Linked DNA regions of Stegostoma tigrinum. Each later gene encodes a partner of the first gene's protein in a complex. Links are inferred from orthologs where the notes say so. Each region holds a gene or a part of one and is shown in the gene's direction. Other genes may lie near its edges.

Region 1 (11,374 bases):
TACAACTGCAGCAGGCATTGGGGTGAAAAACATAATAATGGATCAACCATCTGCTATGTAAGTCACAGTTGATCAATGTTCATTTCCATGTTAAGGGATGTCGGGGGATGTATAATGTACAGCTGATACAACATTACCCATGTTTGAAAATTGTGGCATATATCAGTGAGGCCAAGTTAGAAAAACATTTATTCTTCGCCTCTGGGGAAAACAACTTTGTTTATTTTATTAATCATCTAGTGTTTTCTTAAATTCCGAAATAGCGCATTTTGTTTGAAAATGCAACATTTGACGAAACTAGTTCAATAAAATTCTTCGTGGTAAAAAAAAGGAAAATGCCCTGAAACGTACACCAACCAAGATTCAGAATATAATCAAAAATAAGCAAGATGTTGTTGAGGTAAATCAAGAGATCATGAAAAAATCCAATTCTTGAATGCACACTTAGGCTAGTTCAATGCTTTAGAATTACATTCAGAATTTTAAACAGATCCTTTCAACTCGCTGCAACAGTAGGTAAGTCTTATTGCAACTGTACAAGATGACCATGTCTGGAGAACTGAGAGCAGTTTTGGTTTCCTTATTTAAGGAAATATATTGTTTCATTGCAGCCAGTCCAGAGAACAGTATTTCGGAAGAGCCCTGGTTTTGAGGGGGCATCTTATGGGCAAAGTCTAATCAAGTTGGATGTCTAGTCACTGGAATTTAAAAGAATGAGAGGTAACCTCATTGAAACATGTAAAATTCCTAATGTGTTTGACAGGGTAATTGCTGAGAACACATTTCCCCTCAGATATAGTCTAAGAGTATAAAACTGAGATGTGGAGGAATTTATGATCTCAGAGGGTCGTGAGTCTTCGGAACTCCTTGCTACAGAGACATGTGGGGACAGAGACCTTCTGTATGCTTAAGGCTGAGGCAAATAGATTTTTGGTCATCGGTGACAAGGCTAGGAAATTGGAAATGAGGAAGGTCGGATCAGCTATGATTGCATTGAATGGTGGAGCAAGCTTGATAGGCTCGATGGCTGAGAGCTCCTTGTCCTATTTTTTATGGTCTCATTAAGCAATTCAAGCTCAATCTTTATATTTTTCTACATTAGCAATCAGTTGACATATAGCCATGCAAATCTTCTATGCATTTATGCAGATAATTGCTGAAAATGCAATCTTTCTATTTTGAAATGAATATTTCTATTTTGATTTCAATTTCACCAGCTTTGTTGTATACTGCTAACAACAGCTATCATTACAACTATTACAGTTTCTATTTATTTGTAAATCTATTATAACTAAATACAAGAAAAAAGACAGGAGATGACTAATCAGTACATCAAACACATCCCATCCTAGTCATACATAACTTACATATACTATTTACCCCATTTCTATAGATGCCTTCATCTCATTACCTATACACATCCATGTGCAGGCAGTTGTGGGAGATGTAATAAATTTAGGAAGCAAGGTTAACTTGACTCTGAGCTCTTAAAGGGTCCCAGGAAAGCTCAAGGAGATCATGATGACTGCATGATCAATCCCTAATAACTCACCTGTTGTCTCATTAATTTATTCAACTCCCTTTTAACTGGGATCTTGCTTTTTTGTTGCACAAAATGGAAGACTACACTTTTCATATGAGGGTAAAATTCACATTTGCTCTGTTTGTATGCTGAAATTTTAGTGTCATTTGTCATCAACCAACAAGAAATAACAAACCAAACAAATGATCACTTCAGATGTTCAAACATCGACAGTTCTAATTCACATCTTTAATCTTCCACAGGCCCATCAAATGTCTCACAGGATGCATTACAGGAGGAGTGTGAACACTGCACAGAGGAAGATGGGGGGAATGTAAAATACATCAGATATTGAGCCCATTTCCTTCCCAACTATTCCCAGAGCCATTTATCCAATATAATGAGTAGGGAAAGGACCAGACTGCCATCGTTAATTCTGTTGATACCCTCAACTTTCCTTTTAGTAAAAGTTAAGGACATCAATCTGCCTGCAATGTAGCAAATTCTGGACAGGGGTTTGGCCTGAGCACAAAGGCTACTTCTAAACTGACATTTCCTGTGTGCATTTCAGATTGCCCTGCAAGATGTCACTGTCAGGTCTCCCTACCCTCATCCTTCTCCTCCCCTACTGAGTAGTGAATACTGAGAGAGTGCAGCACTGTCAGAGGTGTTAAAGTGTGAGGCTGGATGAACACAGCAGGCCAAGCAGCATCTCAGGAGCACAAAAGCTGACGTTTCGGGCCTAGACCCTTCATCAGAGAGGGTGGGTCTAGGCCCGAAACGTCAGCTTTTGTGCTCCTGAGATGCTGCTTGGCCTGCTGTGTTCATCCAGCCTCACATTTTATTATCTTGGAATCTCCAGCATCTGCAGCTCCCATTATCTCTGTCAGAGGTGTTGTTTGATTGAGGCATTAAATGAAAGTTCTGCCAGCAGTGTCAACGGTCTAAAAGATTTCATGGTTGAAGAAGACCAAATGAGTGATCTAAGTATCCTGGCCAATATTATCTCTCAATTAATGTCACTAAAATAGACCTTTGTTGTGTTGCTTCTTGTGGGAGATTGCTGTGTGCTGGTCTGACTAGCTCAGTTAGTAGAACATGAGACTCTTAATCTCAGGTTTGAGCCCTGCTTTGAGTGTTGCTGATTTCTCTGTGTGAAGCCCCATCCCTTCAGCAGTGTCACTATGACCACAATGAGTTTTTAGGGAGGGGCGTATATACTGCAGTGGTAGCATTCCCTACTGTTGAGCCACCTGCTCCAGAGATGAGTCTGAACAGATTGATTATAAATATCTGCAAACTGCCTCAATACCTAGTGAGCCAAGGGCATAACACAAAAAAAAGTATGTGCTGTGTTCAGATTGGCTGCTGCCTTCCACATTAAATCAATACGTTAAAAAGTATTTCATTGGCTGTCCAGCAGTTGTGAATGGCACGATATTAAGGCCAGTATTCACTTTGTCCATGCTGGCTCTTACAAATACTCGCTACACTCAGGATGCCACCCTCAGTAGGATTGGTTAGAATCTTGCCTTAGACCTTCATGTTCACTATCTCACTAATATTGTTGAAAAGTGCTGTTCTGATTATTGCTAGCAAGTGAGAAATGACAGTGAAGATGAAGCAAGGGAATGTGATGGAGGGTACTTTGATCAAACTGCTCCAGCTTCTCATCTATAGTACCCCTTCTTCCCTCAGTCACAGCTTCACGTGGAACCTCATCCTGATGACTGAAACCAGCCCTGTACAAGTGCACAGAGTGCAGTTTCTCACCAGCTCCCACAGCTCCAAAGCTTAGAGAAAGTCAAAAGAAAATCTCAGCAGTTAGAGCATGGATCTGAACAGCCTGAAACTACCTGACCACATCATGGAGGATTGGAAAAATAAATGGGAGAGTACATTCACAAAAATGTTATGTTGTTAAGGTTCTGCTTAGATTTTGAGCCAGGTAAAACTTGATGCTTGCTCACCTTGCTGGTCTTGCTATTCTCGCCAGTTGCCTAGTAAGTTGCCTCTCATGTGGGAGTGAAAAGGCAAGACATAAAGCCAAGCAATGATACATCGCACAGTGATGAGTTGTTAATTGCAGGGTCATTTTATGTTTGGGGAGGTGGGAGGGTTGGATTGGTGGGAAGGGCATGCATGTTCGGCATGTGGTTGCCAGATGGTGCAATGGTATAATCTAACTATGCCACTGAGGTATCCTGCACCTCAAAATGTTTCACTACTGGTGCCAGGCTCCCAATCCTCCTGTTCCTCCTTCTCTTCCTTTGCAGAGAAACCTCCTCTCCTGCATTTAAACCTCACTGTAGATGTACATTGTGTCAAGCACAGCCCAACACAAACACATTTAACACCCTGGCTGGAGCATATCAAAAGGCACCTTCTGATTCATTCAACATCAGAAATGCATCTTCTGCATCCCGTTTGTTGTCTCCATTGCACATTGCTACAATTATAACCATATGATGCTGCACTGTTGGACATCATTGCTTGAGCTCCTCATGGGTGTCATTTGTCACATTTTAAGATAACAGCCTTTGTCTCCAAGGAGCCAGGCTGTAAATCTATTCTGAGGCCAACATGCTAAAGTGCAGTAGATTACAGCAGAATGAATAAGTCACAGCAGCTCCCTGGGAATCTTTCACACAACTTTGAGCTGATCTTTTCATGGTCTCCCACATACACACTGCAGTACATTGACGGAGTAAAAATTCCTTCATGCTCATGAACACCCAAGGAAGTGCCTTGATACCCACATAAATGCTGCACAGGTGAAAGACAATCAGAATCCAAGGAGTGCTTCCTCATTCTGAATGCGCGTATTGATTGCAAAGTAACTACAGTGTCACCTGGTTAAGCTGTCACTATTCATCCCCCTCTCTCCCTATTTATTCCAGTTCCCTCCCCCCATCCCCCTCTCTGATGAAGGGTCCAGGCCCGAAACGTCCTCCCCCTCTCTCCCTATTTATTCCAGTTCCCTCCCCCCATCCCCCTCTCTGATGAAGGGTCTAGGCCCGAAACGTCAGCTTTTGTGCTCCTGAGATGCTGCTTGGCCTGCTGTGTTCATCCAGCCTCACATTTTATTATCTTGGAATCTCCAGCATCTGCAGTTCCCATTATCTCTGATACTATTCATCCAGTTGCAATTTACAGTTTATATTTATATTTGTAGTTTGCATATATATCCTGTAGACTCCTGGAATGATTGGAAGTTAAGGGCAATTGTCACTTTAGCAGCAGCCACTGGCAAAGATGCTCACTGAATCCAGTGGGAAGCACGTTTTCTACCAGTAGATCGCAGCACATACCATGAGCCTCTTGAGATCCTGCTGTTCAGCCATGAATCTATAAAACCTCTGATGTAATTAACACTCGTGTGAGCTACAACTGCTGTGCAGATTTGCCAGAAGAAGGCAGTTGCTGCTCCTCGTGTAAAGTTCAAGGTAAAGTATGTGAACAGCACTAATGCTGATATAATCAATGACAGACAGAAAGCCTCCTTCAATGCAGTAGAAATGACACCATATTGGAAATCACTCACAAATTAGTGAAAGTACACAAACTGTGTACAAATACTGAGAATGCTGTAAATCTGAAATAAAAACAGAAAATACTGGAGAAAATCAGCAGCATCTGTGGAGAGAGAAAAACAGTTCACATTTTGAGTCTATTTCACAACTTCAGTGATAGCACACTCTGGACACAGGCAGTGAGAATGAAAACCTCTCATTTAGTTAAGGATGGAGCTGATAAGTGTCAGTTCTTATTGCCGTTTTTGTTTGCTTGATATTTCTTCAAATTCCCTCGACTGCTCCCTTTGAAAGCCTTTGCTTTCACCATTGGGGTCCTGGAAGCTGTGGGCCCATAGTTAATTACACTGTAGGCTTCCTCTCACACTCTAATATGGCTGTTTGTGGGTAACATTTCAGGTGACAGCCTGACTTTCACACATGGGTGGGGTGCATTGTCACTTTCACACATGTTGAATGTGGAAGTTAAAAGATTTGGAGACAGCAAACGTATCCGGTTCTCTCCATGAACTTAACGTCAACCAACACCACCACCCCGACCTCGGCCAAATGTATTGGGAGCCGATTCCCCCAGCTCGAGTGGTGCATTTCACTCAAGGGTATTACACCGTTCTAATAGCTGGTTACATAGTGAGCTCCAGTGGCGACAGACTGCAATATCCACAAGCACATGTATGTATGGCCCAAAGGTTGAGGGTATGCAGCTTGAACAACGCGAGTGATTGTCAGATCTGGAAGTTGCTGAAATGTATTAACCTCTTCCTTCCGAATCCGGAAAGGCGATGGGTTGTATTATTGTGATGAAAAGAGCATTTAGTGATGGGCGCATTTGGCATCCCAAAGAAGTCGGCAATAAAGCCCCTCCCTCTCTCCTTCCTCCCCGCAGCCAGGAGGGCGGGGATTGCCTGAACCTTACATGTCTTGTAAAACCAAAGCACATCTGCTTTCCTTTTTTTAAGAAAAGCGTGTGGCACTTGTTTCCTCCGCGATGCGAGGTGCAACAGTCTCAGATTGAGAGAGGGAAGAAAACAGCAAACCGCAACTAAAGGCGAGGAGCCAAGTGCTGCTCCCACCCCCTTGTGGATGGAGCAGGGAATTTTCAGGGTGGGTTCTCCTTCCTCCCTCCCTCCCTCCCGGGCTTTGGGGGCGATGCCAGTTATTCAGTGATTTCACCAGCTACCGGGAAGTGAAATGTCCGTTTTCTCTCCGCTGGAGGGGATCAGTCCATAGCGAGCGTTCTCCTCACTGAGAAAGATCCCAGTCTGTCAGATGGTTCACAGCGACATGTCCAAAGCGCAGGAGATTCGGATGGGTATACTGGAAAACCCCAGCATGCAGGTAACTCGTAGCTTGATAGCAAGACATTTTATTCTCCCAAGTTTCTATTGTAGTTTTACACCGGTGTGCCATTGTGTGTGTGTGTGTGTGTGTGCGCTCGTGCCAATCTCTGCACGTCTATGTGTGTGTAAATATGTACCTGTGTGTGTACATAGGTATGTATCGATACACCTACATCTCGTAAGACTTGTTGAATGAACGCAGTAGTTTGCAGACTGCCGTTAACTGCTCGCCCATTCAGCTGCTAATATCTGGCTGTTTCTCTTCTGGCAAAGTAACAAATTGTACCTGCTTCTTACGAATGTCCTGGGGTGTGTTTAAAGTGTATTGATTCGTAAAAATCCAGTGGAAATCTGCCAATCTCTTGCAGCCGGGGATCTTCACACTGAAAAACGTACTCAGTTAACAAGCAGGTAAACTGAAGCGAACTTTAAGATCGCATTAGAAAGTTTTTTTTTTAACTGCCTTACCACCGGCTACCTGGTCGGATACAAGAGCTCGAGATCGACTCGCTGAGCTCTTTAGGATACATTGATCTAACTTCTTCCACTCCACTGTTAAATTTGTAATTTAACTTCGTAGATAAAATCCAAATTAAGGTCATCCTGTTATTTCTCGGTTTCTACTTAACGATAAAACTTTATATTTACATTTTTAAGGCATGAATTATTATTGGTCAAATTGCTTATGCGAAGAATTTATAATAGGATATTTTAAATACAAGGAGTTTGGCTGTGGTGTCTTCCTGGTTAACATTACATTCATTTACATGTAAACAAAGGAACATTGATTTTAACATCCAATATTCTCTCAAAAATAATGCATCATCTAAACATTGAAGTAATTTTTAAATAGAATGCATTGACATCCTTAGAAAAGCATTTGACTTTTATTTAACCATAAATTTGTGTTGACATATTTTTTGACAACAATGGCTTCTCACTAATGCTTTTGAACCTCCCCAGTCAAGTGAAAGAACACTTTATTGGAGGATCTTTCAGGATGGCAGTCCCTCAGGCTCATAAAATATTTTTCCCCCAATAGTTCCGGGAGTTTACCCCATTATTGACAGAAATAATTAACAGTGTACCTGTATCTAGATTATAAACCAGTGCACTGTATGATTTTAGACTTTAAATCCCTCCAGAGCATCAGTTTGTGGATTCAACAAAGTAATCAGTGATTTCAAAACACTATTTTAAGCAGATTTTACATGGAGTGTATTTGTAAAAGAGAATGCGACATTGTATACCTGTTCAAACTAGTAGCTTTTCTTTGGTCAGCCTATGAATTTTATGTAATGGCTAATTCTTATTGTTACAGACATGTGTAAGTCACTCAGCCCTGAATGCATTATTTGTGAAAGAAATAAATTACCATGTTCCTTCAAGTTAAATTGTTGGAATATGCAATTTTAATGTTTTCTTCAGTAAATTAGCTGCAATATTGCACCATTTTCATCACTTTGCAAAATGGCAATTTTTTTCTGATTTGAGTTTGTTTTTCGTTTTGAGCACACCTGTGGGTTTAAATTTTGTGGCTAATTCTCAGAAATATCGTTTTTAATTTGTTGAATGACTCAGAAGAAGGCCATTTGGCCCATTGAATTTTATTCCTTTTGATTTCACTAGTTAGACTGAGAATTAAGACTGACTTCCTGAAGGTGATGATATTGCATTATTATTTCTCTCAGATGTCTGGAAAAGGTGCAATTAGGAAAAACAGATTTAAAGGATCCGACGGGAGCACCTCCTCAGATACCACCTCTAACAGCTATGTGAGACAGGTAAGATCCAGATCTTATATGTTTTAATTGCTTTTTGATGAAAAACGTAATACCAATAATCATAATTCCAAAGATAACAATGTAACTTTAAGACCTAAACAATAGGAGTCATTGTGTTCTGTGCCCGTAACAAATCAGCCTTTGCTGATTTCATTGGGTAGATCACAACAATGACTGTGAAATATAGTGATAAAGTATACACCTCAATCTTTACTTTCTCTAAGATTTTACTTTTTTTGGAACAAAAACAGGATGACAGATTGAATAATAATAATAATATTTAATGCCTTGATTTTTCAGAAAAAATCTTTCCTGGCCTACTGTAGACTGAAATCACCTACATTCATGATATTGATGCACTTTGGGCCTGAACTCCTAGTTCAGCTCTAAATCTGAAACACCCCTCTTACGTATTGTAATATACTCATATTACTACATTTAGTGAACCCTTAAAAAAGGCCAAATCTGTCAATTTGTATTTAAACACAGGTGCAAGCTATGACCATTGGCTTTAGATCTGCTTCAGTGTTAATATTTTTTAAAAGCTTTACATCATTGGAAAGGCAGTATCAAGAAGGCAATTCATCATCACTTTCTCAAGGGCAACTGGGAATGGGCAAAAAATGCTGGCTAGCCAGCGATGCCCACATCCCCCAAATGAATAAAAAGGCTCTAAGATGTTACTCTTAAATTTGAAAATTGTAAAGGTGTTGTCTAAATAAAATGAATCTTACAAAGCATATGGGAGTAAATTCTTTAAAGATGGCTGTGTCCATTAATAATTATTTATTGTAGCATTCTTTCAGTCATAGGAGACATTAATATGGTGAAAGGGAAGCATTTTTCCAATATTCCCCAAAAATAAAACATTGCATTTGTTTTAATCTCATATAAATATAAAATGTCGACCTGTTGGTCTTTGAGTGTTGGAAAGGTGTCAAACAGGCACGGTGAATACCAGCTGGCTGAGAATTAAAATGTTATAAGTAGCAGCCAGCTAACACTGCAAAACATATCGGACTTAGAAGACAGACAATAGTGTGAAATGGTGACTAAAGATATATCTGCAGGAGTGTGACAGAATATGTGACAGAGCATAACATGAAACAAATCAATCGGAATTTTACTTATTTCATTTTCTTCAGTGTGTTAATGTTGGACTGAGCTGTGGCTAAAGGCTGTCAAGGAGACCCTCATATCCAGGCTAATCAAGTCAGCGCTGTTCATGTTGGACTGTTTTATGCTTTTGATTCACAATAAATGCATTCTTGAATGGATGATGTTATTAATAGAGGCTGTTGTGATGTAGAATTGTGTTGCCATATCAAGCAATTGCTTGTTGCTTAGTATGCCTAATCTAGATATATTAATTTGCTATCAATATCTAACATTCTTCCCATTTTCCCATCCCTTTTACATACTTGTTTGAAGGCAAAATGGTGCCAACAAATCTCTTGGTGCCTGGTTTCTGAAATAAACTCATCAGCAATTGAAGACATGGTGTGAAATACCATTAGCGACTTATAAAAAAAACCTACTTCCTCTGGTGGATTATGTTATCACACCATGTGAGTGTGTTTGTCACTGTCAAAGAACAGGAACACTAAGCTTGGAAAAAAACTCTTCAGTAAAAAACAATGAAATTGCAAGACTTTGAATGTTTTAAGAAACTGACATCTTGCAACTTAAACCTAAAAACACTCGAACGAATTGTAATTTCAATTATGATTTCAATTGTTGTCAACTGTAGCTCAGAAACCAGCTATCAATGTCCTTCTGTTCAGTTGTTATTAATTTGATACGTCTGAAGACAGCAGCTAGTGCAGTTGAGTGTGAAAATACATTAAATTATGCTAATATTTTAGCTACAGTGTCTGATAATGTTTTTACAGGCATTGTATTGATGAAATGCTAACGGGGAAAGGTTTACCTAAATTTCCTCCTCATGCGACAACTGTGAAAATTACACAATAATATTCTTCACTCGACAACTTACAGAATTTTCGTAAAATTAACTTTTATTTTGATGAGCACACTGATAAAACTATTACAGCAAGTAACTTTACAAAAGAAGTTGTTGAGTTCTGAGGGAAGGGTCACCGGACTTGAAACGTTAACTCTGATTTTTTCTTCACAGATGCTGCCAGACCTGCTGAGCTTTTCCAGCAACTTTGTTTTTGTTCCTTAAAAAGAAACATGACCTGATTTTGAAACTAGTGGGGTTTTCTGTGGAGAATGCAATAAAGGATTATTTTTGGTATTACCTATTACTAAAACCATACAAAAACATTAAAACAAGACTGTTCAAATTTTATTACTCATTGTCGAATTAAATTGAGCCTGAATTCATATTATCCAGTTTATTGCTTTCTGTCCAAATGATTCCAGTTCCCTTGCTTACAATTACATCATTTTAAGATTGTTTTTCGTTGTCAATTGCCAAGCTGAATCATAAATCTAGTCGAAAATTCAACAACCTAGTTACTTGGTTCAATGTGTTATAGGTTGTGATTAAATCCACCAGTATCATCTGAGATTCTCTGAGATAGGGATGGCAACTGGAATGTGGTCCTTTATTACATAGCGAATGGAATATTAAAATATTGCAATTTTCATAAAACTATACAAGGCAATAGTCAGATCACACCTCCTATACTGTGAAAAGTTTTGGTCCTTTTATTTGAGGAATGGCACACTCTGGCAGTCTACAGAAGGTTTACCAGATTGAGCCCAGGTAAAAAAGGGCTTTCTTATGAGGAGAGTTTGAATCAGTTGGGTGTGTACTCATTGGAGTTTAGAAAAATGAGAAGTGCCCTTCTTGAAACTCATTAGATTTCTACAGGGTTTGTTAAGGTGGATGTGTAAGATTGTTTCACCTTGTGGCAGAGTTCAGAATTGGAGGGCATAATCTCAGTAAGGGGTCACCCATATGAAGACTGAGATGAGGAAGGATTTCTTCCCTGAAGGTAGTGAACCTGTGGAATTCTTTACTGCAGAGCTGTGAGTATTGAGTAAAGTGAAGCCAAGTCGGAGGTAGGCATTTGTTTTTAAACAATACGGCTTATGGCAAGAGGTAGGCTAGGATTATCAGAACTGCCATGATTCAGTTCTTTGGTAGAGCAGACTGAATGGGTCAAATGACTTACTTCTGTTTCTATGTCTTGTGGTCTTAACTAAGATCCTTCGAGTAGATTC
Region 2 (10,819 bases), on another chromosome or scaffold:
TAAAATATAAGTCACTGTTCTATCAGCAACTGTACACTGGTTGAATATTTAGAGACTACAAATGGATTTACCGGAGTAGTGTGTCAAAAAGCCCGCACAAAAAAAATTTGCTCCCTGTGCCACAGCTTCTTTGGTTTGTTGCTGAATTCGCTTGACAAAGACCAGCATGCTACCATTAATAACACGCAGCAGAAATATTTTGAAGCAATAAAGGCAAACAGCAAAGTAGGACAGGGTGTTCTGGATCTGCTCTAGGTTACTCAGCTTTTAAATGGAATTTAACATACTCCATAATTCAAAAGATGCATCCATCGCATCAACAAAAACATTAACAGGTTTACTTCAAAATGAAAAAACCCACACCATTTGCAAAAATCCAGGCATTAAGAATTTCTCTGTCTACATGTTGCAGTTATGTGTGTTGAGACAATCCATGAAAATAGATTCGGACCATTTCTCAATCACTGTTGGAATGTAAGGATAGACATGATATATTTATTATTGAATACCTGATTAGTTCCTGTGGAGCATTTACTATCTAACCAATCTTAAAGAACATTCAATTTTGTAAACTAATTAGCTTGTTTTTAAAATGGCTGCATGGTATTTAACTATTTTTACAGCTTCACATATCTGGCTCTTTGTCATCATCAAAATAAGTCCCAACTCTAGATGGTACATCGAAACATTTTCATTTCAAAATAGTTCCTATAAACTGGAATATGAGCAGCATAATTGTTGAAAACGACTGTGCAAGTCACAACTTAGACTTCAAATGGCAATAAGTTTTGTCTTTATAATGAAGACACAGAAGTTACAAGAAAGTCCGCTAATTCTAACCTTATTAAAATTTTGATGTCACCCGTCACATGGCACCTGACAAAGGAGCAATACTCCTAAAGCATGCGATTTTAAATAAACCTGTTGAACTATAACTTGATGTTGTATGAGTTCTAACCTTGCTCACTCCGGCCGAACACCAGCACCTCCACATCATAAAATTTTAATGAATCGCTTTGACTAATTGTCATTAGATTGTCAATATTACACAGCAATCATAAACTGCAAATCTACGTTTGGATCATGTGCTTCTGTTTCAACTTCACTTTACCATTCTGTTTATACTATTTTAGGAATATTACATTAAATTTAAACAAGGCATTTCATATGGAAAAGACATTTGTCCACTGGGCAGTGTATGATTCACCAATACTACCACTGCACTATATTTTGGTTCCAGTCACAGTACAATATCACTTCTATCATGAATAAACGCAATTTTCGACAACTTTCATCTTTTATGCACCCCTAATCTCTCTCTGCAAAGAAAATAAAATATTACTACAGATTATTAATCATATTATCTTCACATTCCATGGCTGCAAATACGACTTGCAGATATACTGCAACTAGTTTCAGAGAAAACCAAAAATTAGTAGCACAAGGAAGAATGTGCCATTTGATTTATCAAATCCCACTACATTTTCGAATGCACATTTAAGTATTACTGCAGTTTCTACAGAATTTACTGTATCAAGCTCCTGAATCCTAATCATGTGATATGGACAAAACTTTCCACAGAAGAGGAGATAATTAAAGTGCCAACAAGTTTGTTTGAGTAATCTAGGGAGAGATTTGAGCATGCTTTCTGCCTGCTAGCGAAGGACCTACACTGAAGGCATATTTTCAGAAAGTTGTACGGATTGACTAAACAAATGATTTGAAATGGAGGAGGTTTTCAACGGAAGTGAAAATATTTTTCTCCTTAGTACAATTGCTAACAGTAGGCTACAGAATCAAATTGTTGAACGCTAAGAAAAATAACCTTAACAAAAAACAAAATAATTTTAACAAGTTTTTTTTTAATATAGTGTATTTTTAATAGATTCTAATCAACAACCTGAAACATATGGTGGAATTGACTAAGGGAAGCCTGACATCCACAGGCAGCACTTCTGTTGGATCGGTCTCCTGGAGTCTTGATGGAATCAAAGCCTTATTTGGGAATGGGAACACTGCTGCCAGGATGTTTAATTACTCTGCTCCCCCAGTAGGGAAGCCATTCCACCATCCCAGTAAACTCCCAACCAAGTAATAATGCATTTGGCCATTCAGCAAAATTTATCACTGCACTCATATTGAACCTTAAACAGACAGCCATTGCAAGGTGAATGGACTGCTAATTTGGGGGTAAGGCAATGGTTGTGGAGGAGGGGGCGATGGGCGAGGATGAGGTGTTTGTCAACTGTGGTTCAGTTCACTCATCCCTCTGATTTTCAAGATCACAATTCAGAAAGCAAGCACACAAAAATTACCAAGGTTGTCACTTAAGTGCAGTACTAAGGGGGCTATACTACTGGAGCTGCCATCTTTGGCATGAAATGCTAAACTTAGGCTCCATCCACCCCCTCAGGTAAAAGTACAAGGTCACACGACACTATTTCAACGAACAGCAGGCAAGTTATCCTTGACCAATATTGGTGCCCCAATCAGCATCATTAAAAAAATAACCTGCTCACTACCACATTGTTGTTTGTGGCAGCTGGCAGTGCATAAATTGGTTGCCATGAATCTTATTTTACAACAGTGACTAGACTTCAGAAAGTACTTAATTGCACTGTAAAGTGCATTGCAAGGTCAGGTGGTCAAGAAAATGTGAACCCTTTCTTATCTACTTAAAAAATTCAAAAGGAAAAACAATTAACTGATAACCGAAATTGTACATTCTAAGATTGTAAAACTAATTGCAGATGTAAATCAACAGCATAACAGTTATAATAAAATGTGTAATTGCATGGTAATCTACCTGAAAATCAGGAATGACGCATCCACTACGATGTTTCCATGCAGCTGCTTGTCTTACCTTCTGTATGAAGGTCGTAAGTTTGGGAGGTAACAAAAATGTAAGAAACAGGAACTAAAAATAGTCCATTTAGACACTAAAGAGATAATGGGAGCTGCAGATGCTGGAGAATCCAGGATAACAAAGTATGCAGCTGGATGAACACAGCAGGCCAATCAGCATCTCAGGAGCACAAAAGCTGACATTTCGGGCCCTCTGATGAAGGGTCTAGGCCTGAAATGTCAGCTTTTGTGCTCCTGAGATGCTGCTTGGCCTGCTGTGTTCATCCAGCTCCACACTTTGTTATCATTTAGACACAAAAGCCTGTCCTACTAAAGAACAAGATCATGGCTGTTCTGTCCCAGACTTTAACTCCTGTAAAAGGAAGAATCATTGGTGAGCTGCTGCAGAGAATCTTGTAGGTGTACACTGGCTTTTCAGCATAGAACAATGGCTGAAGCGCTTGTTCAGTTCACCAACATGTTGTGACAGTTGAACCCATCCAAGCAAGCAAAGTATTCTGTGATACCTCTGTCAGTAGTGGAGGTTGGAGGCTGGAGGCAGGAGGCATCAGGAAGCAAGCAAATAATATCCATGATGTGGAGGTGCCAGTGTTGGACTGGGTAGAACAAAGTCAGAAGTCACATGACACCAGGTTACAGTCCAACAGGTTTATTTGAAATCATAAGCCTTCAGAGTGTAGCCCCTTCATCAGGTGAGGTAAGAGAATAGCACACAGACACAGAATTTATGGGCATAGAGATCAAAAAAATTCACACAAATGATGTGATTGGGGTGACAAATAAGAAGTCTCTGCAGGTGATCAAATGTGTTAGATGTGTCAGTAAAATGTCAACAGCTGAACAGCAAGTAAAGGGATGACCTATAATCCAAGTAATTGACATAGAGAGAGATAATTGCAAAAAATGAAAACTAAAACGTGGTGCTGGAGACAAACCAACTGACTGAAATAACATGATAGATATAAGAATTGCATGCTGAGGGTCTATGCAAAGTAATACACAAGATCTGTTCAGATGAGGAGAAATGTGGTGGATACTTAAGTGTTTCAAAAGATGCCCTTATAATAGGCTACGATGCTCAACTCATCCATCGCCAGTTTTGACGTGCCACAGCAAAAAACCATAATGACCTCCTCAGCAGACAGACAGGACATGACTGATAAGAGTACCCTTCATTGTCCTGTACTTTCCCAGAGCAGGGAGGCTACACAAAGTTCTTCACAGCCTTCAACATGTCATCAATGACAACAAGCATCTCGCCAAGATCATCCCTACACCTCCACTTCTCACCTTCAAACAACTACCAAATCTTAAACAGACCATTGCTCGTAGCAAACCACCCAGCCTTCAGGACATCAACCACACCACCACACAAGCCTGCCACAGCAATCTCTGTATGACATGTCAGATCATTAACATGGATACTACCATCACTCATGGAACACCACCCACCATGCACATGGCAGATGTTCACGTGACTTGGCCAACTTGGTCATGTATCTCGTTCGCTGCAGGCAAGGATGACCCAAGGCAATCACCAGACAGGAACGTTCCCTCCCAGTTGGGAAGCACTTCAGCCGTCAAGGACATTCAGCTTCTGATCTTCAGTTAAGGTGTCCTCCAAGGCGACCTTCAAGATACACAACAATGCAGAACTGCCAAGTAGAAACTGATAGTCAACTTCCATACCCACAAAGGCAGCCTTAAACATGATCTTGGATTTATGTCACGCTATACTGGACCCCCAGCACTGACTGTATCTGTAACATCTTCCTGTTTTGACACCATCACCTGGATAAATTGTTATGGCCTCTCAATTAGTTTATACAGTTTTGGATGACTTATTACTTTGGTAAGACACTTGGTGTGCAGCTCTTATACCTGTTGTGTTATTCCAATGACTTGGTTTGTCACCAGCACCACTTTATTTTTAATTTTTTGTAATTATCTCTCTGCTTCATTTAATCGGATTATAGGTAATCCCTTTGCTTGTTATTCAGCTGCTGACACTTCACTCAAACAGTCTAACACTTGCAATTACCTGCAGAGACTTATTATTCAACACTCCACCCAACCATTTGTTTGATCTTTTGATCTTTCTGCTCATAAATTTTGCATTATGTATTTCTCTGTCACTTCACCTGTCGAAGTAGCTGCACTCCAAAAGCTTGTGATTTCAAATAAGCCTGTTGGACTTTAACCTGGTGTCGTGTGATTTCTGACAGAATATCCAGCTTCTGATTTCCAGTGGTCATTGTGCGGGTGGCTGGTCCAAGTCAGTTTCTAATTAAGAAGTTGATGCTGCTGGCTCAGTGATGGCAATACCACTGCATGTCAGTGTAGGTGCTGAAGTTCCTTCTTACTAGTGATTATAAAATTTTATAATCTTAACTGGTCAATAGCAATCAATCGTGCTCTTTTAATGAGCAGCTGAATGTCAAACCTCGAATACCCACAACCTTATGATGCTGATAGGAGAGCGATTAACGAGCCTGATTGCCATGACATTTAAAGAAAAAAAATCTCAATTTCATCTGGCTATAACAAATAACTGATTTATGGCATTAACCCAAACAGAATGCAAAGAACACTTTGTACTATTCTGTTAAAATGAACACAGTTTAAAATATGGTCTATAAACTTATACCAATGCTACACATAATACCAACTTGATACCTAATTTTCCCACACTTCCCTCAGTATGAAAAATGTTTTAGTAATTTTTGTTTTATGAGGCTCGAGAAGATGTATTAATCAGTAATACTTGCTTCAAATGTGCATTTCTTTTCTCTTTTCTCTCGCTACCTGCTCCCACACACAGCTGGGTTAAAAATGTAGAGAATGTTTTGAAAGTTCATTATAAGATCATGACAAATTCTTGGGAGAATTTTATAATCTTAACTGACTTGTAATTGGAGCATTGCTGAAACTTTTTATCTTTGTTTCCTCTTAATGAGATGAAGGCCCTATATCAAAACGTCAGCACTGATGCAGAAACGCATGCCACAATTTAACTCCTTAGAGTGGAGGAAGTCAACATATAAAGTCACCGTCCTCCTTCATCTCTCACTTTTGAATGTAACACAGAAACAATAAGCATTCTCCCCTCATCTGTGCTTCAATGGGCAGAACCTAAGAAATAACTCATACTTTCAGAGATTGATTTCAGAGAATTCAGCAAAACAAAAGGTATTTTTAATGAACATTGTGTTATTGCCATGGAAGGCAAAATGCTTCCATCAGTTCTTCATCAGAAAGCCTCCAAACAGTTGTCCAAACAACCAACACAAGCAATGGATATCAAGTACAAAGGCATAATTGTGAAGGAGACACAGCTGAATTGCTTCTACACTTGTCCTGGAGGTAGGATTTTCTCATGTCTTTGCCCATGTAAACGATAACAGTTTAAAACAATATTTTAGAAAAAAGTTGTTTTAATAACTGCACTTTAGATTTGGATCCAAAATTAGAAGATGATGTCTTAATTGCATTTCTCTCCCATCAAATGTGATCAAATTTATATTACCAACCTTTACAAATACCTAAATACTGATATTTCCCGGTCTTAATTTATCAATAACAGACAGATATCACAATTGTAATAATTTTGCAAATATAAACATAAAAGTAATGTTTAAAATTAAAAGAATAAACGTGCAAAAAACTATATTTGCCAAAATACTATGAAATTTATAGTAACCTTGGCAGTTTGTGTTTTTCCTCAGTTACTGAAATGCTGTAAACATACCAAATTCATCTCTAATTTCCTGATAAAAAAACAAGTCTTTGAATACCTGATACATTATTGCAAAGCAACATAAAAATTTGTTTAGCAAACTACGATTTAACAGAAGTTTCTGGAAAACCTCAGGAGATCGGGCAGCATCTCTGAAGAAGAATAATCAGAGTTAATGTTTCGGGTCTGGTGACCCTTCCTCAGAACTGTTTTTGTTCTTGATTTACAGCCATCTGCAGTTCTTTCAGTTTTTATTTGCTATTCAACAGGGGTCACAATTTTTTATGATGCAAGCAAAACATTAATTTCATAATGCACTATAACAGAAATTCATCAGGTTATTTAAATTGCACTTCTAAAATTCTTCACAGTCTTTGTTTAATATATGGGGCAGCACAGTGGCTCAGTGGTTAGCACTGCAGCCTCACAGTGCCAGGGACCCAGGTTCAAATCCAACCTTGGGCGACCATCTGCACAGAGTTTGCACATTCTGCCCGTGTCTGTGTGGGTTTCCTCTGGGTGCTCCGGTTTCCTCCCACAGTCCTAACATGTACAGGTGAGGTGGATTGGCCATGCCAATCCACCTAGCCTGTACAGCGGTGTGTGCGTTTTTGGGGGATGGGTCTGGGTGGGATGCTCCAAGGGTTGGTGTGGACTTGTTGGGCCAAACGGCCTGTTTCCACGCTGTAAGAATTCTATGCCATGTAGATAAAATTTGTTTAAGAAATGAATCATTTGCAACTATATATAGTGGCTTCATTTTATGCATGCATTATTTTAAAGTAATTTAGAATGATAACAAAAATTTAATCAGTACAATTAAAACATTACGTGTCAGCACCAAAACCTCAGTGTTGCAAAGTAACCTACAGCGAATTAATTACCTTTGAAATGTAGTCACTATAATGCAAGAAATATGAAGCTATTCAGCAAAGGATTCCATGATTAGATTATCTTATTTAAACTTACTTCAAAAGCCTAAACACAATGACAGAGACACAAGAACTTTGAAACTCTAATTCAAATAGAACTATGAGAACTTGTTTGCAAATACACAGAGTTGGGGCCTCAATATACAGTCACATCAAAAGACTGCACACACAACACCTCCTCAATACTGCATTGAGCTGCTAATTTGAATGCTCAAATCTCTATATAGGACTTGAGCCACAATCTTTGACTCCGAAGCAAGGGAGCTACCACTAAGCCACAACCTTAAATTCTCATGAAGTTACAAAAATTGAAGACCGTTATACAGATTTCTTCAATATACCTGTTCGCTAGGTAGGGAACAATATCGATTGAATCGATTTATCACCTTTGTCTGTTCTCCGTCCCCATCTGAAGAAAACCATTTCTGTCACTAAAATCCAGTTCTAACAGCTGTGACCACCCTCTAGAACCTTGCGCCCACCATCCTGACTTTAACTAGATGGCTACTAATCAAAAAATAAACACTAGCAGCATGTGGCAATATTCCGACAGCAGAAAATGACAGTTCAGTTCACCCCGATCTTCATCCCATCTGAAAAACAAGTACTGTAATCACAGTCTCTATTAAGTTCCATCAGCCACTTGTCTGCTTGTTCTGGCCTTCAATGAAGAAGTAAATGCTATATTTGCACAATAAATGTTCCACGTGAGCATTGTGCAGGAATCAAATTCACCTATGCAAACTGTCCTCACTAATATTCATTATTATGGATGCCATTCACATTAGCTGGTGCTCACATCTTATTCTATATGGTTCAAAGAACACAAATGGACCTGGTTTAAAAAAGATCAGTTTCCTCAATAATAAAAATGCAAATTCGGCACTCTGTGAAATTTCAACTAGTACTTCTTCTCAGTATGGGTTCAGTTACAAAAGTAAATTAAATGAGCAATGTCTGGCCATCAGCAGAGTTTTGTTTAATTATTGGCTTCTTTATTACCTTGCAAATGCTAATTCCACAACTACTACTGTTGTAACTACCATCTCCACCATTGACCTTTGAATTGGGTAAGCTGGACATCTGTACCGTGACAATTAGCAACCTCATATTTAACAGCAACCAGGTTAGCTCAGTTGTTAGAACATCAGATTTTGTTGGTTTTTTGGGCTCAAAAAATTGTTCAATTGGCTTAAAACACAATAAATAAAAAAAATGATGTTGCAAGGAACTTCTGGTGCAGTGGTAGCGCCCTACGTTCAAGTTAGGAAATCCCAGTTCAAGTCCAATGTGCCAGGGAATAGATCGCAACATGCCCAAATAAGTTGATTATCCAAACATCAGATCCATAGCATTGATTCAGTTATTCTGATGACCAAAAAGTCATTGGGGCAGAACCAGGTGGAACTGCATGCCTGGAATTATGTTCCAGGTGCAACTGCCTTTGGAGAAAATACCATGGACACCTCCAAGATGATAGGAACCATAGGCATCTCAGTCAGATGTAGTTACAATACAGTAAGCTACCTCACCTTCAGATGAAAAATAGCAGCATCTTGTAGAAGAGGGCATGAATACAAAGCACCTTTCCATTATTTGCAATTTATGGGTAACCCTAGGTAATGTTTTCTCAATTTGTGGCCACTCCATTACCGTGTAGTAGTGATAATAATTGATGACAACTGTGGTGACACATAATAAAACCTGATGTCAAAAAGTGAAATGTAGGTCAAAAGGGGAAAAGTCTAAGGGGCCTGCGCTCACTGCAATTCCACAATCTAAGGGAAGTAACACGTCTTGACTGCATAAAGCCTACCCACCATGAACAAACTCACATCAGGAGCATTATGAAAGATTCTCCATATGCCTGAATGAGTGTAGTTCTAAAACAGAAGACGTTCAAAATCATCCAAGGAGGATGAAACTTGCTTAATTGTGCATCACCTTCAAAACATGTACTCTGCGCTCCTACAGTGCAAACCGTTTACCAGATTCCCTGCAGAAATTTCTCAAGGCTCCTTCAATAACACCTTCCTAATGCACAATATTTACCACCTAGTCAGGCAAGAGCAGCAGATGCATGGAAAATCCCAGCAACAAATTCTCCTCCAAGCCACACACCACTCTGACTTGGAAACACATCCCCATTCCTTCACAGTCAGCAAGTCAAAATATTCAAACTCCTTTCCTCAACACAGTGTAGGCATAACACTGCTTATGTACTCTATTTGGACTTCACCACCACCTTCCAAAGGAGATTAGGAATGCAGAACAAATAATAGCACTGTCAGCAATGTTCACATCCAAAACATTTAGAACTATTTCTAATTCAGATGCATCTAATTCTTAGCCTTTGTCTTAGTACACAGCGTATTTTTTTAAAAATGCATTTTCAGCATGCTTTGGAAGATCCTTCAATCATGAAAAGCATGATACAGCCAATTTACTATCTTTTGAAAACATAGACACTGCTGTAATGTGAGAAATAAGTGGCTCCACTAAAGCAATCAAATGACAACCACTTGAGGAAGGACAAAATGATACAACGAACATGCCAAAATATGGAGATAGAAATACATTTCTGACTGCATGATCACTATGAATTATTTAGATACTGCTCAGATACCAGCACCCACTGCTTCGTCGAGAACAGGACTTATCCATTGAACAGGAAGAAGTCCAGAGTCTATTCTCAACTTCTAAGACATGACTGATACTATCCAGAAGAAAAATGAGCGAAGATAGAGATTTTTTTTAAAAGAAAGATTCATTTTCACATTGTAGGAAGTTAAGCATGCTCAGTCTAAAAATTTGAATGCCTCTCAGGTTCATGCCTCCCTGTTCTGTGGAACCTTAGAGTTGGCCCTAAATATTGTCACAGCTTTAAAAATTCAAGACTGTAAATAACATTAAGAAAACCCTGAGTCTTCCAATTATCATTAATTTGCGAGTAGTTCTATTTTAAACTCTCTATGTGGCGCATTTTTGCAACAATACCTACTATAGAAATGTCGGGAATAAAAGGAAAAATGTAACATACAAAAAATTCAACCTTATGGTACCTACAATTCACAAAGCACAAACAGGACATTTTACTTCAATGTAACCTTTTTCTTTGGCAACTTGATTTACTGCAATGATTGTAGCAATAGGAGGGAAATCTCTTAAATTTAAAATTGATTTAACATGTATTACACAGGTTACTTAAATTAATTGAAAAAAAATTAAAATCAACTTTTAAACTCTGAATTACTAAAATAGTCTTGACGTAGAGGTTCTTTTCATT
Region 3 (11,138 bases), on another chromosome or scaffold:
CCCCCACAGACTTCTCCACCTCCACTCTCCCAGCTCCCACAGCCTTCTCCACCCCCACTCCCCCAGGTCCCACCGTCTCCCCACACGCCAACCCCCACAGCCTTCTCCACCCCCACTCCCCCAGATCCCACCGTCTCCCCACACCCCAACCCCCACAGCCTTCTCCACCCCCACTCCCCCAGATCCCACCGTCTCCCCACACCCCAACCCCCACAGCCTTCTCCACCCCCACTCCCCCAGATCCCACCGTCTCCCCACACCCCAACCCCCACAGCCTTCTCCACCCCCACTCCCCCAGGTCCCACCATCTCCCCACACGCCAACCCCCACAGCCTTCTCCACCCCCACTCCCCCAGTTCCCACCGTCTCCCCACACCCCAGCCCCCACAGCCTTCTCCACCCTCACTCCCCCAGATCCCACCGTCTCCCCACACCCCAACCCCCACAGCCTTCTCCACCCCCACTCCCCCAGGTCCCACCGTCTCCCCACATGCCAACCCCCACAGCCTTCTCCACCCCCACTCCCCCAGTTCCCACCGTCTCCCCACACCCCAGCCCCCACAGCCTTCTCCACCCCCACTCCCCCAGATCCCACCGTCTCCCCACACCCCAACCCCCACAGCCTTCACCACCCCCACTCCCCCAGTTCCCACCATCTCCCCACACCCCAACCCCCACAGCCTTCTCCACCCTCACGCCCCAGCTCCCACAGCCGTTTCCACCCCCAGCTCCTACAGCTTTCTCCATTCCCAACCCCCACCTCATTCCCACCGTCTCCCCACCCCTCAGCTCCCACAGCCCTTTCCACCCTCACGCCCCCCCAGCTCCCACAGCTATTTCTACCCCCAAGCCCCCAGCTCCCAAAGCCTTTTCCACCCCCAGCTCCTACTGCCTTGTCCACCCCAACCCCCAGTTCCCACCATCTCCCCATGGCCCCCAGCTCCCACAGCCTTCTCCACTCCCACCCCCCATTTCCCACCGTCTCACCACCCCTCAAGCCCCCCAGCTCCCACAGCTATTTCTACCCCCAAGCCCCCAGCTCCCAAAGCCTTTTCCACCCCCAGCTCCTACAGCCTTCTCCACCCCCATCCCTCAGTTCCCACTGTCTCCCAGCCCACCCCAGCTCCCTCAGCTTTTTCCACCCCAATCCCCCAAGATCCCACCGTCTCCCCACGTCTCCAGCTCCCACAACCTTCTCCACCCCCACTCCCCAGCTCCCACACCGACTCCCTTTACTCGTCCCCCCACTCCCCCAGCTTCCACTGTCTCCCCAACCTCCAGCTCCCACCGCCTTATCCCCACTCCCCCAGCATCCACACCATTCCCCTACCCATGTTCCCAGCTCCCACACTGCCTGCCCTCACAACCCCCATCTCCCACCGCCTCCCTTTCCCCCTCCCTCACTTTCCCAGCTTCCATCCCCTCCCCTACCTCACTGGCCCATCTCCCACCTCCTCACCCCTCACCGGAGACCCCAGCCCCAACAGCATTCTCCACCTTCCAGCAGCCCCCCCCTCCAGATTCCAATCCCTCTCCACCCACCCCCGCCATACTCCCACAGCTTCCATTCCCTTCCCTTCCACCCCAGCCCCTCACCCTCTACCGTCTCTTCCACCCTCTCCAGATCCTGTAGCCTCCCCCTCCACACCCCCCTCACCTCCAACCGCCTGCCGTCAACATTCCTCCACCCCTCTATCCCTGTTCCAAAGGGAATGACCTAATCATAGGACACCCCCCATCTCCCCCCACCGGCGGGGTTTTGTTTTCATTGCTGTGGCGCCTGCTTGGACAAGCAGCAAGTGTTAGACCGAGAGAGGAACTGCGACCAGGTAAAGGTGGAGGCGGGGTGAGGGAGGTCACCCAGGACAGGGCGGGAGGGTGAGAGGGCTGAGGGAAGGAAACATAGAAGAGGGAAAGGAAAGGCTTTGGGAACATCGCCCAATTCCTTCCCCCCCCCCCCCCCCCCACCCCGAAAGCCTGATGTGCCCACACAGTCCCAGCCGGTGAACATTTTGTAACATTTAATAGACTCGCAGCATCTCCTGAGTGTTCACCCGAGCCCGGGGCCACAGATTCCGGGTTCCCCTTCGGTGTCCGTGCCCCCATTGCCACAGCGCCCCCCCACCCCCCACCCGGGCTTTCATGTTGCGTTGCATTTCCTGGCTTCGGTTCTCACAACCCCCAAACCCCCCAGCGCCCCCAACACTGGGGTGGTGTTTCCGACCTCCCGGGGGATGAGGGGGCCGTGAGAGTGGGAGGGAGGGGGGCGGTGATGTTATTGGCCACAGTAGGCAACTTCTCCTCTCCTCACCCCGCCCGCTTCCCCGAGAGATACCACCCTACCCTACCCCCGTGCCCCCGCTTTGAGTCAGTGCGTGTGAGGAGGCGGCGGTGAACTGACATCTGAATACTGTCTATTCCCAGAGTCTGGAATCTCTTCCGCATCCACTCAGTGCTGGGGATGGGAAGAGCAGACCCTCAGTGTCTCCATTGGTTTGTGTTTCTTGTGATTTCTCCCATTAGATTGTCACACGTGTCCCTGTAAAACTGTGAATGATTAGATACTGCGTGTAGTCCGTGGGGAGCCCTACTAAAACTGATGTAGAATTAAGTGACTGTGGAAATAGTGGCTGGAGAGAAATGCTCCGAAGTAGCGCGTTCAGCTTTGTACGTGGATTGGGTTACTGTCAAGTGTTTGTGATAATAAAGCAATCTCTGGATGAACGGGAGTCTCCGCTGCTGAGGAGAAAGGAAGTGTCTGTTCATTGAAAAATCATTGAGTCTGCGTTTGACTGGGATCAGAGTTGGAGACAGTCAGGTGGAACTACTTGAAGCTCCATCTCACGTCCCTTTAGTCGTACAACGACAGGACAATTGGACGAACTTAAAAAAAAAATCAGAGGTCACACGACCTGACCTTTTCTGAAGAATGGTCTAGTCCCGAAACGTCAGCTTTCCTGCTCCTCTGATGCTGCTTGGCCTGCTGTGTTCATCCAGCTCTACACCTCGTTATGTCAAAGGTCACACGACACCAGGTTATACTCCGACAGGCTAATGTGAAAACACAAGCTTACGTAGTGCTGCTCCTTCGTCAAGTGACGTGCTTCCTGTTGCTCTATGACCTGATGTTGTGTGACTTCTGACCCTGTCCACTCCAGCTCAACACTGGTTCCTTCGCAATCAAAAAGAAAATACCTTAAAATACACACAAGAAGATGATGTTATAGAGGCAGACCAACAGAAGCACTCCAGTGAACTTTCAAAATATTTTATTCTTTCAGTTAATGTGGGCATCACTGGCAAGGCCAGCATTTATGCCCCCCCCCCCCCCCCCCGGTCTCCTCCTGCCCATTACCCTTGAACTGAATGGCTGGCTCAGCCATTTCAGAGGGCAGTAAGAGTCAGCCACATTTCCGTGGGTCTGGAGTCACATGTAGGCCAGACCGGGTAAAGAAGGCAGATTTCCTCCCCTCAAGGGATTCGTCAAATTGTCACTGAAGGACAGTCTCAAGCAGGGGTGATGATCATGTCCACAGCAGGCGAGAGAACCCGGTAACCCGGGGCCTGGGGCGGAAGCTCGGCAAGTTCCAACCGGCTCGCTCTCTTCTCGACCCAAGCCAGGGAGAGCTGACTGGTACCAGTCTGCTAGCTGATGCCTACAACATCACATTTCCCCGACCCCAGACCACCCCACCCCCCTTATAATGAACGGGAAAGCGCTGAGGAAGACATTAGCTGTGCCCTAACACAAGATACCAATTGACTGCCTCAGGCCAAGAGTGGGCGTCACGGAGCTGGATAATAAGACAGAAATGGGGGTGGGGGTGGCCGGGAATCCCAAAGAACTGCGGATGCTGGAAATCAGAAATTGCTGGAAAAACTCAGCAGGTCAGGCAGCATCAGAACTTTTCTGAAGAAGGGTCACTAGGACGAAAACTCTTTTATTTCCCCTCTCCACAGGATACTGCCTGATTTGCCGAGTTTTTATCTTGCCCCCACTCATTTCTGATTTTGATGCTAAGGAAGGAATCTCGAAAGAGCTTTCTCGGAAAATTCCTAGAGTTTCCAGTGTTACTTAACGCATGATGGTGATGCTGAGAATCGGTGCGTGTGAGAGTTGGCGCAGTGTGAAGGTTCACTGATAGTCTGGTAGTTGCTCGAGTGGGACGACAACACAAGGAACACACATTAGCCAAACCATCAGGGGTGGGAGCAAAGTCCATCACAGTGCATTTCCTCGCAGCAGGGTTTGAGTGACAGGCCAAGAGCAAAGTTAGCTTAACATGGTCAGATAGATTTAAGCGACTCTTGGATAGGCACAAGGAGGATAGTAAAATGTAGGGTTGTTGCGGAGTAATTTTATCTTAGAGTAGGATAATAGGTCGGCACATCATCATGGGCCGAAGGGCCTGTGCTGTTACTGTTCTATGTTCATGACCCGCAAGCTCATCACTTACTCCCTTACACTGGAAGGTTTTGTTTGGATTCTGTCAGCACTGGGGAGTCTGTGGAACCAGGAGTGCACGCTGTTCCCCTTTTTAATTGCAGCCTCCTCTGGGAAGAGACCGCAGGTCCATTGGGGTTTGCGGGATGGAGGGGGGGGGGGGGGGGGGGGGGAGACAGACAATGAGAATGAGACTTGGCCAAAAAACCAGCGCCACTCCTCGGCCCTCCAGGGACCGAGTCTGAAACTCCTGCCCAGCTCAGGGTTGCGCTTATTCCCGGATCATGTCCTCTCGGGGCCCACAGCCTCTGAATGAATGAAAGCCCCAGCACTCCCTATACCCTGTCCCCTCCGGGGTACCCGCTGGCAACAGTCTCACAGCTTGGCACTCTTACAAGCCCTAACCACCTTCCCCCCTTTCTGGCTGGGCTGGTCAGCAGTTGACACAGCTCGGTGCTGACTGTAGGGAGACGCGGTGTAGAGTAAAAGATAACAGGAACTGCAGATTGCTGGAGAATCCTAGATAACAAGGTGTAGAGCTGGAAGTTGCTGCTTGGCCTGCTGTGTACATCCAGCTCCACACGGAGCTGTTATCTCGGATTCTCCAGCATCTGCAGTTCCTACTATCTCCGATACCATTTTAACTTCACTGCGAAGCCTCTTCTCAGGATGCCTAACCTGAAGACGTTACCCTCCTCCCTCCGGACAAACCTCAGAGGATCTCTCTCCCACTGCAACCTATCTCTTGCCTACCTCCCCACCAACACTCACCTCTACTGGGTCCAACCCCGCCTCTTTAACTTGTCTGTCTCCTCCTAAGGGCCTGAACTGTGCTGTACTGTTCTATGTAATCCCCTGATCCATGTTATCGCTGAGTTCTTTTCAGAGCTTCTGACCTATCCCCTCCCTACCTCCCCACCTATACCCTCCTTTCCACCTATCTTCTCGTCTATCCATCTTCTATCCGCCTCCCCCTCTCTCCCTATTTATTTCAGAACCCCCTTCCCTCCCCCATTTCTGAAGAAGTGTCTAGGCCCGAAACGTCAGCTTTCCTGCTCCTAAGATGCTGCTTGGCCCAGTGTAGAATAAAGCGGGTCGGGTGGGGTGGGGGGAGAGCGGGGTGGTGTGGGCTCCTTTGGTGCATGGTAGTGACCCTAGTTCTGAGCTAGAGGAACCCGGGTTCAAGTCCCACCAGGTCCACAGGTGTGTCTCAACGTCCCTCAACAAGCTGGCGAGGAAAGCTCCACAATAAGGCGAGTGTGGGTCCGACATTCAGAGTGGGACCTGCCTGAAACTGTCCCAGACTGAATGACGAGGAGACTGGGCAGAGATCTCCTCTCCCCCAGATAGCACTGCGATTCTTGTTCCTCTCCGTGGAGACCTCGGCCACCTGACTCCCAGACCAGCGGTCGCCTTCAAATCTGACAGTTCCTTGAATGTGGAACTGTGATATAAATATACACACGGCAGCGCCCGGCCGGGAACAGCTCCTAATAGAAAGCTATTCAACGCCGGGCCAATTCACTCACAAGTTTGGGGGCCAGTGTGCGTGTGAGGGGGTGGGGAGGCGTGTCACACGAGGGGCGCAGAGGAGGCTCCCGACAAACCCTCAGCAAGCATCCCATATACTAACCTCCCACCCCAACCCCGCCATTCCTGAAGGTTACAATCGTCCCGGAATGGAATTACATCCCCCCCCGGGGTAGAATGGCTCACGCGTCGGTCTCTGTCAACCTGAGGCTCCCATATACAGAGAGCAGCAACTGGGCAGTGCCAAGGCCAGTCTAGAGTGCATTGGCCAGCCACCAGACGCCCACCCCCCCCCCCCAACCTCCCCGAAACCAGCCCCGGGGGTTCGGGGAGCGGTCAGTCAGTGCAGGTGCTGAGAGCACCAGCACCTTCCTGCTCTTCCGCAGCACTATGGAGGAGGGTAAAGCAAGCAAGATAAAACTCACCTTCTGTGTGATCGCGGTGGGTATCATCCTGGCGATTGTGGCGGTCAGCACCGACCACTGGGCAGGGCTCAGCCCCCGGCTGGAGAGAACCAACTCCACTTGCGAGGAGGCTCACTTCGGCCTCTGGAAACTGTGCACGAAGAGGGTCTTTGTCCGGAGTGTGGACCCGGACGGGAAGGGCTGTGGGAATGCCGACCTGCCAGGAGGTAAGAGAGAGAGCTGTCCTCAGGCACACTCCAGGTCTGAGGCAGGAACTCAGCGGGCTGCAGCTACCTCTCTGTCTGAAAAGAATTCATTCTGAACTTCTCTCCAAATTTACCGCGGTCAGTTGGCCAGCACTTGAGTTGAGCAGAAATTACAACATAAAGGGATTCTTATTGTGTATGTCTTCATACAGTGTCACTACAGCCCCTGGTTGTGTGAACGGTAATAGGTGGGTATACACTGTCCTTTATGCCGCTTTTAATTCACTCCTGGGACATCAGTGCCACATTTATTTGCCCGTTCCTAGTTGTTCCTTTAGAATGTTGTCTTCTTGAACCATTGTAGTCTATGTGCTGTAAACCCACAATGCCATTAGGGAGGGAATTCATAGTGAGTAAGTATTCCCCAGGACAGGGAAGTCCAGATCCAGGCCTCACAGTCTAAGGATCCTGGTTAGATAAAAAGATAAAAAGATCTTCACCCAGAGAGAGTGGTAAGCCTATCGATTCACTGTCACAGAAAACTGGCCAAAACATCGTACGATTTTAAGAAGGAATTGGCTATAGCAATTGGAGCTGAAGCGGTCAAATGATATGTGCAGAAAGCAGGAGCAGACTGATGATCAGTCACAGAGTCATACAACACAGAAACAGGCCCTTCGGCCCAACCTGTGCATACTGACCAGGTCTTCCTGAACTGAACTAGTTCCATTTTCATGCTTTGGGCCCATATCGCTCTAAACCTTCTCCTATTCACGTCACTGTTCGATTTTTTTTAAAAAAATGTAATTATACCAGCCTCTAACACCTCCTCTGGCGGCTCGTTCCGTACATGCACCGCCCTCTGCGTGAAAAAGTTGCCCATCAGGTCCCTTTGAAATCTTTCCACTTTCACAGTAAACCCCTAGTTTTGGAGCCTCCTACTCTCAGTAGAAAGACGTTGATTACTGACCTTATTCATGCCCCCTCATGATTTTATAAGCCTCTATAAGGTCAACTCCCAGCCTGCTACTGAGAAATAGTCCCAGCCTATCCAGCCTCTCCTTATAAGTCATGATCTTAATGAATGGCAGAGCAGGCTCGAGGGTCCGACTCCCGCTCCACGTAGAGACATTAAGAACTGCCGCTGCTGGAGTCTGAGATAACAAGGTGTGGAGCTGAAGGAACACAGCAGGCCAGGCAGCATCAGAGGAGCAGGAAAGTTGGCGTTTCGGGTCGGGACCCTGCTTCTTCAGCTCCAGTTCTACACTATTACATGGGTGACAGTGAAATAAATGCAGGATAGTTTGATCTTAGAGTAGGATAATAGGTCAGCACTAAGGGCCTGTATTGATCTATGTTATCTCCTGCTCCATGTTATCTGTGTTTGTCTCTGTATCAACTCCCATGTGCCTTCATAGTGTATTAGCAACGGACTCAATCTTCACCAATCTGCAACGGAGCAGGCCCAATAGAGACGGGACCCAGCAGGTTCATGTCCAGGCCAGCTCCTCTCCGTCCATTGAATGGTACAATTAAAAAACAAAGGCTGAGTTCTTTTCAGAGCTTCCGACCTATCCCCTCCCGACCTCCCCACCAATACTCCCCTCTCCACCTATCTTCTCCTCTACTCGACCCGCCTCCCCCTCTCTCCCTATTTATTCCAGTTCCCTCTCCCCATCTCCCTCTCTGATGAAGGGTCTAGGCCCGAAACCGTCAGCTTTTGAGCTCCTCTGACGCTGCTTGGCCTGCTGTGTTCATCCAGCCCCACACTTTGTTGCCTCCAAGAGTGCAGGGAGCCGGGAACGCTGTATGCCAGCGAGCAGCCTGGGAACGGGGCGAGAGTTGAGTATTGGACACAAGCTCGAGTTCGGCTGAGAACATTGCCCGTGGCTTTTTAAAACAGAAAATCTTCAGCATCGGCGGGAATGTTTAGACCCTGTAATCAACGTGATGGTGAGAGTAGCCAGGCAGATCCCTCCGGCTGCACTAACCCCTTAAAAAAGAATTTTAGACTAAGCTGCCGCTCACTGCAAACACGCCTGGAACAGGTGCTGGAGTGTAAAGGTATCCGAGCGGTCCCGGAGTTAAATATACCATCAACAGAATTCCAGCCTCTCGCTCACTTTAACACAAGCATCTTGTCTCTGGGTTTATCAAGCATATCCTTCAGCATCATCGGCTCTCTGATAATTCACCAGGTATTTAGGGGTGAAGCAAGCTTCCAGTCAGCACCATGTCAGTGACAATATGTAATTATTACTTCAAGGTCTCTGTCTCTACAGCTTCATCTGAAATCCTGTGCAGCATAATAACTTCCTGGTAGCAGCCCGGAATATACAGTTCATTAAGAGTTTAACAGACATGTCGCTTTCTGCTCTTCGCTTGGTTGGACCGTGTCGTCGGTATTTCATAGGCTCATAGAACGCCTTCAGTGTGGAAACAGGCCCTTCGGCCCAACAAGTCCAAGTTGACCCTTGGAGCATCCCAGCAGATCCAGCCCCCTTTAACCCACCTAATTTACACATCCCTGTATACTACAGGCAATTTAGCATGGCCAATCCAAATAGCCTGCACATCTTTGGACTGTGGGAGGACACCCACGCAGACACGGGGAGAATGTGCAAACTCCACACAGACAGTCGCCCGGGTCCCCGGCGCTGTGAGGCTGCAGTGCCAATCACTGAGCCACCGTAACCAAGCCCCCTTTCAGAGAAATGATGAGGGGCATGGATAGGGTGAAGAGTCAAAGTCTTTTCCCCAGGGCAGGGGAATCCAAAACTAGAGAGGTGTGGGTTGAAGATGAGAGGGGAAAGATTTAAAAGGGACCTGAGGGGTAACTTTTTCCACGCAGAGGGTGATGCGTGTATGCAATGAGCTGCCAAAGGAAGTGGTACAGGCTGGCACAATTACAACATTTAAAAGCCATCTGGATGGGAAGGGTTCAGAGGGATATGGGCCAAATGCTGGAAAATGGGACCAGATTTGTTTAGGATATCTGGTGGGCATAGATGAGTCAGGCTGAAGGGTCCTGTTTCTGTGTTGTACATCTCTGTGACTCCATGACTGTGTGTTATCACACACCTCTGGAACAGCTTGGATTTGAACTGGGCTGCCTGGCTCAGAAGCAAAAACAGAAATTGCTGAAAAAGCTCAGCAGTTCTGGCAGTGTCTGTGGAGAGAAACCAGAATTAACATTTTGGATCTGGTGACTCTTCCTCCTGGTTCAGAGATAGAGATACTACCACAAGAGCCCCAAATAATTGTGACTTGGGCGTGTTGTACCCCAAGTCTCACATCTATGGTTAGATCAATAGCAACATTTGGAGTGAAGGTGCATTTGCTTACTATCATATTTCCGTCAATCATGCTGTTTAAATCTTTCTGTAATCCTGGACTAACCCTGCTTTGATTTGAATGGACCTTGTAGTTTATCAGCTGCAAATTTGACTAATTTATACCAAGCTTCTGAAGGTAAGGACTCACCAATTTCTCAAATAGCTTGGTCCATTTGTCTGCCAGGTTTTAGAGGTAGCCTGTTTGTTCCTCGGTCTGATGGCTTTGAGTTCACATTCCACACCAGAGATTTCACAGTACATGTAGGACTGAGCAGGTGCTGCACCTTCAGAGCTGACACCTTGTTGATAAAATATTTTTAAAAAATTATTTAAAACTGAAATACAGCTATGGAGTCCACCCGAGAGGGCAGTATCTCAAACGAGGGAATGCGACTTCTCTCCAGGGTCTTGGCCAGAATTCATCTTTCACCCCCAATCATGGGAGATAGGTATCCACTCTTTATTACATTTTTGGGAGCTTGCTCTGCAAGAATAGGCTCTCATGTTTCTTACATTCCAACAATGACTTTAGTTTAATAGCATATAATTGGCTGTTAATACTTTGAGATGGCCCCAGGCCTTGGCTGTGATTGCGCTCTATATTTTAGCCAATTCCTTATCTATTCCCAAAATTAATTTGGAATCTTTGGGTTTTAAGTCACCTTTTTAATTCCAGTTACCTTTGGAAACCAAACTATGGAAAACCTGAGAGTTGAGTTTGGTTGTTACTTGGTCCAAAATGATTGTTATGTGGGATCAACCACATTGACTGATCTTGACTGGGTTGTAAAACCTCTACTCAGATTTTCTCCAATGAATTGGTCCCATCAATTTGCACGCAGTGGAAGTAAGTCCATGGATCTGAAGTTATACATCTTTTCTATAACTATTTTTGAATTCACACATTCACACATTCTAATTTTGTTGTCAATTTACAACAGTGTCTACACACTCAAAAGCATTTCATTGGCTGTAAAGAACTTTGGGAACATCCTGTGGTTGGGAAAAATACTGCGTAAAAATTATAAGTAATAGGAGGAGTAGGCTATTTGGCCCATCTAGGCCAGTTTGCCATTCACTAAAATCATGGCCAATCTGTGTCCTCAACTCCACTATCTTGGATGACCTCAGAAACCTAATACCTTCTTGATCAAAAACCTATTTACTCAGCCTTGACTGAATTCACAGGATCCAATTGCTGTCTGGGATTTGGAATTCC

Evidence for each region.
Region 2: voltage-dependent L-type calcium channel subunit beta-2-like (region 1) and voltage-dependent L-type calcium channel subunit alpha-1C-like share a complex: the UniProt entries of both Homo sapiens proteins name them as parts of the calcium channel complex. The link is inferred for Stegostoma tigrinum from reciprocal best matches to the Homo sapiens genes CACNB2 and CACNA1C.
Region 3: voltage-dependent L-type calcium channel subunit beta-2-like (region 1) and voltage-dependent calcium channel gamma-1 subunit-like share a complex: the UniProt entries of both Homo sapiens proteins name them as parts of the calcium channel complex. The link is inferred for Stegostoma tigrinum from reciprocal best matches to the Homo sapiens genes CACNB2 and CACNG1.

The regions. Positions count from the first base shown.
Region 1 is NC_081355.1:115,623,126-115,634,499, forward strand, and holds the start of voltage-dependent L-type calcium channel subunit beta-2-like, read left to right. Parts: upstream 1-6,178; 5' UTR 6,179-6,324; coding exon 6,325-6,393; intron 6,394-8,086; coding exon 8,087-8,179; intron 8,180-11,374. UniProt on the Homo sapiens protein: Beta subunit of voltage-dependent calcium channels which contributes to the function of the calcium channel by increasing peak calcium current. Plays a role in shifting voltage dependencies of activation and inactivation of the channel.
Region 2 is NC_081371.1:22,335,165-22,345,983, forward strand, and holds the start of voltage-dependent L-type calcium channel subunit alpha-1C-like, read left to right. Parts: upstream 1-5,955; 5' UTR 5,956-6,083; coding exon 6,084-6,228; intron 6,229-10,819. UniProt on the Homo sapiens protein: Pore-forming, alpha-1C subunit of the voltage-gated calcium channel that gives rise to L-type calcium currents. Mediates influx of calcium ions into the cytoplasm, and thereby triggers calcium release from the sarcoplasm.
Region 3 is NC_081375.1:9,583,182-9,594,319, forward strand, and holds the start of voltage-dependent calcium channel gamma-1 subunit-like, read left to right. Parts: upstream 1-6,274; 5' UTR 6,275-6,364; coding exon 6,365-6,605; intron 6,606-11,138. UniProt on the Homo sapiens protein: Regulatory subunit of the voltage-gated calcium channel that gives rise to L-type calcium currents in skeletal muscle. Regulates channel inactivation kinetics.